Arabidopsis thaliana: one gene and its partner. The protein of the gene in region 1 purifies or fractionates together with the protein of each later gene. This does not show direct contact. Each region holds a gene or a part of one and is shown in the gene's direction. Other genes may lie near its edges.

What was found.
Region 2: the proteins of AT4G26230 (region 1) and AT2G43460 fractionate together in Arabidopsis thaliana (co-fractionation; one large-scale study listed by BioGRID). This does not show direct contact.

What each region holds. Positions count from the first base shown.
Region 1 is NC_003075.7:13,284,131-13,287,616, forward strand, and holds AT4G26230 (Ribosomal protein L31e family protein), read left to right. Parts: upstream 1-1,606; 5' UTR 1,607-1,744; intron 1,745-1,869; 5' UTR 1,870-1,895; coding exon 1,896-1,975; intron 1,976-2,143; coding exon 2,144-2,423; 3' UTR 2,424-2,661; downstream 2,662-3,486. Other genes in the region: AT4G26220 (S-adenosyl-L-methionine-dependent methyltransferases superfamily protein), read left to right, coding at 49-99, 177-401, 508-639, 726-1,016; AT4G26240 (histone-lysine N-methyltransferase), read right to left, coding at 2,881-2,980, 3,084-3,134, 3,337-3,472.
Region 2 is NC_003071.7:18,045,153-18,049,073, reverse strand, and holds AT2G43460 (Ribosomal L38e protein family), read left to right. Parts: upstream 1-1,672; 5' UTR 1,673-1,781; coding exon 1,782-1,784; intron 1,785-2,148; coding exon 2,149-2,332; intron 2,333-2,766; coding exon 2,767-2,789; 3' UTR 2,790-3,109; downstream 3,110-3,921. Other genes in the region: AT2G43465 (RNA-binding ASCH domain protein), read left to right, coding at 10-58, 136-193, 277-364, 432-550, 639-764, 880-973, 1,042-1,196, 1,283-1,342.

The sequences.
Region 1 (3,486 bases):
TTGAGCAGAGACTTTACAGTGTTTGAGGAACGAAGATTGTGAGACACAATGGCTAAGGATGAAGCCAAGGGATTGCTGAAAAGTGAAGAGCTCTATAAAGTTTGTCCTTACATACTCATCTCTACGTTAGTTCACTTCTCCATTTCTCTGATACATTTCTGTGAAAAATGTTGTAGTATATACTGGAGACTAGTGTGTACCCACGCGAGCCAGAGGTTCTCAGGGAGCTTAGGAACATTACTCATAACCACCCTCAAGCTGGTATGGCTACTGCACCAGACGCTGGCCAGTTGATGGGGATGCTGCTGAATCTGGTAAATGCAAGAAAGACTATCGAGGTTGGGGTTTTCACTGGATACTCTCTTCTCCTCACTGCTCTTACGCTACCAGAAGATGGCAAGGTATTTGCATAGATATGACCAAACCAAAAGAAAAAGTGTCATGATGTTTTTCGTTGTTTTGCTTCTGTATCATTTCTGCAACTGATTTGGTACACGAGCTCTGCAGGTTATCGCCATTGACATGAATAGAGACTCGTATGAAATAGGATTGCCGGTTATAAAGAAAGCTGGTGTTGAACACAAAATTGATTTCAAAGAGTCTGAAGCTCTTCCAGCCCTCGACGAGCTTTTAAACAATGTACAACTTCATACTTCTTTGTCTTTCAAAAAAAGAATTAGTATGTATCCTGAGATGGTCTTTTTGTTTTGATGTTTGTGATGCAGAAAGTGAATGAGGGTGGATTCGACTTCGCATTTGTGGATGCAGACAAGCTGAATTATTGGAACTATCATGAGAGGCTTATTAGATTGATCAAGGTTGGTGGGATCATAGTGTATGATAACACTCTCTGGGGAGGATCAGTTGCTGAACCGGACTCGTCCACGCCCGAGTGGAGGATAGAAGTCAAGAAAGCAACCCTCGAGCTGAACAAGAAACTCTCGGCTGATCAGCGTGTGCAGATCTCGCAAGCTGCGCTTGGCGATGGTATCACTATTTGCAGGAGGTTATATTGAGCGAGTATTGTTGTTCTTTGTGATCTTTAGGGTCATATGATTGTGAGCCCTTTATATTGAGCTATTGTGATGCAAGAGTGTTATTGTTCTATGTGATATTTTGGTTCCTGTGTGAATGTGAACCTTTTCTATCAAGTTTGTGGATTTCTTCAAATTTCAAGATTATAACAGACAGTTACGAAGAAACACAACTCATTTTATGTTTTGTGTCTTTTGGCAAAACTCCAAATTCTGAACATTGCTCTAAAATCTAATATAAAAAGTAAAAAAATGAATGGGGCGTTCCGAGAATCGAACTCGGGACCTCTCGCACCCAAAGCGAGAATCATACCACTAGACCAAACGCCCACATTGATATATAGTTTGCTAGCTTTTAATACAATGTATATTAAATAATTTAGTTTTGTGATATAAACAGTAAACAGAACAAGATATTTTCACCCAAAGTTAAAAAATCCAACGTTTGTTCAAAAATAAGAAAAAAACTATCCAAAGTTAAATTATCAAATGTTAAAAATCGTTAGACGTTAATCACAATATAAAGGAACTCTTTTTTTTTTTTTTGAGTTAAGAAACACTTAGTTGGGCCATAAAAATATAGGTCTAGTAGATGAAAGGCCCATAAAATCAACTAGGGTTAGTTCTTCTTCTTATAGAGCGCCGCATATAAGCTTCATCCTTCTCCGTCACCACCGGCTCTGTATTTCGGCATTTGTGGAGAGAAGAAGGTACTCTCATCCCTTTCTCTTTCTTATCTTAATCTCCTTTTTTAAAATTTGTGACAAAGTAAAATGAGCTAATCTCGTCTTTAAGATCATATGTCAAAACTGAATTTGAGTTTTGATATATTCAGGTAAAGAGAGAAGATAGAAACATAAAATGTCGGAGAAGAAGGGAAGGAAAGAGGAGGTGGTGACCAGAGAGTACACCATCAACCTTCACAGACGCCTTCATAGCTGGTAATTTCCAAAACACCAAAAACACTTTTGTCTTATTGCTTCAAAGCTTTTACTGTTAGATAGTGGAATTGGAATGTTGATAATGAGCTCTTAGCTAATGTTTTAATTCGATTGCTCTCTATGGATTGTGACATTGAAATGTTTGATCTTCTTTGTGTGTAAAACTAGTACCTTTAAGAAGAAGGCTCCAAAGGCGATCAAGGAGATAAGGAAGTTTGCTGAGAAGGAAATGGGGACAAAGGATGTGAGAGTGGATGTTAAATTGAACAAGCAGATTTGGAGCAAAGGTATCAGAGGTCCTCCGAGGAGAATCAGAGTCCGAGTTGCTCGTAAGAGAAATGATGATGAAGATGCAAAGGAAGAGTTCTTCTCTCTTGTCACTGTTGCTGAAATCCCTGCTGAAGGACTCTCTGGCCTCGGCACTAAGATCATTGAAGAAGAGGATTAAACTATCTTATAGTAACAACAACATTTGATCAGATTTTTCGAGTTTTGTTTTTCGAATCTTTATTGGAGAGAACATTTATCTTCTTGAATCCTTAAGCCTTGAATCATAGTATGCGATTGAGACAGAATCTCAGTCTTGTGTCGTAAGTAGTCTTCAACAATCCTTACACTTGTTTCGGTAAAGTTTGAGCATCTGGTTCGATCATGATAATATCTGCAGCTATGAATAAGTTTATGCACCTCTCTCAAGTGAATTGCTTGAATAAATCAAGAGTATTACATGTATGAACTGGAATCTAGTTCGAGTCAATCATGAGTTTTTAAACAAAACGAACTTCAGAGTTTCGTATCTATTTACAACAACAGAAGAATGTTCTTTAGGGGATAATAGAGTCAAAACTTGCACTCTTGCTATCACAAATTCACTCTGACGAGGTTTGAAAGTAGCTATTATCTCTCTACCGTGCTTTATATGCATACATATAGTTCCTCAGTTTTTTCACTTCCTCAGATGACTCCTCTAGAAGATGGTCCACGTATAGACAAATTCCAGCTCCACTGCAATTTCGAAGTACAGAAAAGTTGATGCAAACTTTAGTTTTACATACACAGGGGCATATAAAACAACACAAGGTTATATCTAAGCGATAGATACACATACCAAAGCGGCCCAAACGGAAGCCAGATAGCATCCCACCGGAATTTCGGAAGCCTAGAACACGGGTGAGATTTATAAGCATAAATTTACAAAGAGCACGAATGGAAGGAATAGACAAGAAATGTCCTTCATGTTGAATACAGCATAAACGACTAACACAAGGATTCATGCCACTAACAATGGCATTATAATAATGAAAGTTTGCGAAGTGCAAGATTGTATCGAAAAGAAAAGAAATGTATACTCTCTAGTGTACCTCAGCAAGTAATAAAGCCAAAAGATGGTCAATGCAGATCCAACAACACAAGAGTACCAGAACCATCGTCTATGATCATTCTTCTTATCTCGTAGCCCGACAATGGAGAGGGAGCAAGCCATGATAGCGATCCACTCTGATCCAAAAATC
Region 2 (3,921 bases), on another chromosome or scaffold:
ATATATTAGATGGCATCAAAACAGTTGAAGCAAGGTGTTTTGAAGAAGAGTATGATAGGTAGGAGAAGTGAAAAGTTATTGAGCTGGATTACTTCTGTGTCTCTTGTGTTCACAAATGTTGTTTGGTTTCCTCAGAATTCGGAGAGGAGGTTCAATGGTTATGATAAATAAATGTCTAATGTTTGAAGTTCTGGTGAGATATATTTGCCGACATCATGCTTTTGTGTTCCTGCAAACGATTTCTTGTGATTGATTCTCTTAAATGTTGATATATAGGAACTTCACCAATATGCATCCTTTTACGAGCTGTTGAAAGCCGAGAGTTCAGAGAAAGTGTTTCCTGGCACTAAAACAGTGGAAGAAGGTAAGCTTTTTTCTTTGTCTGATCCTTAGCCATTAACTTCTGTTTCAAAGATTTCAAATTTTTTTAGGTATGCAAATGTTTAGGAAGTTATATGATACGGATCAAGAGAATTTCAATGGTGTTGTGGCAATCCATCTTAGTAAATCAGTTGCTCAGCCTTGTGTTGCTTTGGCTCACATACTGTCTGTGAGTTCAAGTTTTTCTCAGCCTTCTCCTTGTGATTTATGATTCTTATTATTCAATGTTTCTTACAAAAACATCATTTAAATGGCAGGGCTTGAGTTACACTGGCGTGCAAAACCTTCTCGGTCTATCTCACACAACTGGATCCATTTTTCATGCTCTGCCTCCTCCTAGATCGATGCTACTCTCTTCATTCATGCTTCCATATAAGCCAAAGGTACCACAAAAACTAAGATATAGTTCGAGAGACATCGTAGTGAATCTTTTGGGGAATGGTTAAGCTGTGTTGTGTGAGATCAAATTTAGAATCTTTCTTTTTTCCTATTGTTGAGATAAAAGGTTGTAGATTGAGCCATGGAGCTAGAGCATTAGCCAAGCATGTTGATCGAAGTAGCGATGGATTTTGGGGTGTTCTTCAGGGAACTGGTAAGTAACAAATTTTTGCAGGACACTGATGCATTTCCATAATTGAGTCTTCCTCTTCCTTTTCTCAGATTCAGATAAAAATGAGCGTGCAATGGACATAATCAATCGGTTCATTGGCAATTGTTGTTGGATGAACATACATATCGTTCCACCACATGGTGAAGTGTTCGAGATAAGAGTAGCTCAAGGCTATGGAGCACGTTGGTCTCGAGATGGAACCAAAGTATGTATATTTTGAGACTTGAAGTATGTATCTTTCAGACGTGTCTGATCATCAATTGTTTTGTTGCTGTTTATTTTTATTGGCAGTTCATTGGATTTCTTGAGCCTTACATGGAGGATGGTCACTCCATGGCCTGGAAGCATTAAGACCGCACCTGTAAACATCTCTGTGTCTTTAGGACTTTGTGAACTTTCTCTTGTAGTTGAATCGTTTTTTCTTTCAACAAGTGTAAATTTGTAACGCTTCTTTTCTTGTGACAAAAAAAATCAAATTTTTTTTTTTTCTAAGAAGGATTTTGTGGTTGATCTTGTTATGATTAGGGTATGAAAAGAAAATATGAGGACCAAAGTGTTAAGACAAACTGTAAATTGGGCAAAACTGTGAAGGGACATTAAAGCGATATATGATTGGGCCTTAAAGCCCATTGTTTGATAAATCGTCCAGAGGGTAAATATGGAATTTCAGGTTTACGAATTAGGGCTTCTTGATACAAAGTTTTTAAGAGATCTCTTTATATCCTCGCGACGGCGAATTCGCTCGACTCTCTCTGTGGACGGCGGCTAGTTTCAACCAACAGATTCGAGAATGGTACAATATTTCTCGGTCTTTCGATTTCGTTTCATATCGCCGTCATGGATGCTTATGATTTGGTTTTCATAGCTCGTTTGCAATCATTCATAGTGTAGTAGAGCTGTTCCTGTATCTTAAGAGTTTTCTCAAAAAATGTAGATTTTTGTATCATTTTCAGCTTTGATTATTGCTTCTTACTTTGTTTAGGATATAGTGAAACGTGTAGGTTTTAGTGAATTAACCAAAAACCTAGGTCAGAGTTTGCTTAATGTGTTTGATGTGCTGAGCTCGTGTCTGCTTATCATGTGATTAACTTTTGATTGGTTGGGATTATTGAATCTTGTATTGAATTTTGATTGATTAATTTGATTAATGTTTGCAGCCTAAGCAAATCCACGAGATCAAGGACTTCCTTCTGACAGCTAGAAGGAAAGATGCACGATCTGTGAAGATCAAGAGAAGCAAGGATATTGTCAAGTTTAAGGTCAGATGCTCGAGGTACCTCTACACGCTCTGCGTCTTTGACCAAGAGAAAGCCGACAAGCTTAAGCAGTCTCTTCCTCCAGGTTTTTTATTCTTCTTAACTCTGCTCAATTTACATTGTTCTCTACTACACTGCATAAATTCTCACACTTTAGATCATTTTAAAACCTTGATGAAATTTGAGTTTGGCATATGGGTTCGAAACAACCTGTCTTTGCTTAATTACATTGCGTGTGTATTGCAACATTCAACATTATTGGATTCATTATGTTATATGGACTTTAAATATAGCTGTGCCTTGAGTTTCATTGTTTGAATTTTGCTAAGTATTTATGTACGTTAAAGTAAGCTTCTTCATCACACAATTTCCGTTGTAAATTTTTCTGAGTTTGGCATTTGATTGCTAAACCCAGCTTTGCTTTGGCTTTAGTATGTTACTATGTTTTTGAAAAGTATCTTCATTCTCATATCTGTTGTACGCGTGTTCTGAGGTGTGGACTATGTTGCACTTTTTCAGGTTTGAGTGTACAAGACCTTTGAAGATGAAGCAAAGTTCTTCTGCAGATTGGAGTTCCTTTGGTGACGAATCCTTTGCATCATTTTATAATTTCCTTAGGAGAGTTTATTTTGTGTCGTTAAATTTATGTTGAGACTTTTCGAGTTTGAGTGTGTTTTGGATTTAATTCAGTTTGAAAAACCAAATACGTTCTCAACTCTGGATTCAATTTGGATTTTTATTTTCAGACTTGAGAGTTGGTACCTTCTCCATCATTTATAATAACAATCACATTCATTAAATGAATCATAACCAAATTACTCCTTGATCTTAGCACTAACTACGATTTTAGGTTATATACTTTTCGACATATCATTTGAATTATAGCATAATAGTCTCAAAACATGTAAAAACCTCATGATAGCACCAAATTTGCAGTATCATGCTTGAGGTGTTGTTGTTATTCGAAACAATCAAATCCATGGGGACCAGGCCCAATTGGAGCTTGGGCTTTTTGGTATATATATTTGTTGGCCTTTGGTGAATCTTCCTTGATCTTAACATTTTCTCTCTATGCGGTTCTCTGTTCTCTTGTTAATTACTTGTTGTTTCCGTAATGGGCCCAAACGCCTTTAAAAGTCAAATTTATTGCTTCAGAGTTGAAAAAATTCAAAAATCAGATTAGTTTGCACACAAATCATCGCGCCGAGAAGCAGAGGTTAGTTATGAGTCTTAGTTATGGAGTCGCAATTCTAAATCTCCATTTTCCGGGAAAACGCGAGAAACTTTTGTTTTCTTTGAATTTGCTCTCAATTTGGAAACTTATTCTTCTATGATCTTCGGTTACTTAGTTATAGAGTTTCAGTGTAAAATACTCTTGATTCTTTTTCCTCATTATCGCTTGATTGTTCGTTTTTTGATTATTTTCCGGGAAAATCTTTCTCGGGAAATTTTGTTCGACGCTTTGATTTTTCTCATAGTTTGGAATCGGATTCTTTCATGGTCTTCTTTTACTTGATTAGGGAATCTCCAGTTTGAAAGACTCTGAATCTTTCCTCATTATCGCTCGTTTGTTCTTGTTTAATTTTCCCGAGAATTGTTTTTAGGCGCGATCTTAATTGGGATTTTGGAATGTGAATCTTTTCATGTTAGTTTGTTATGTGGAGTCTCAGTTTG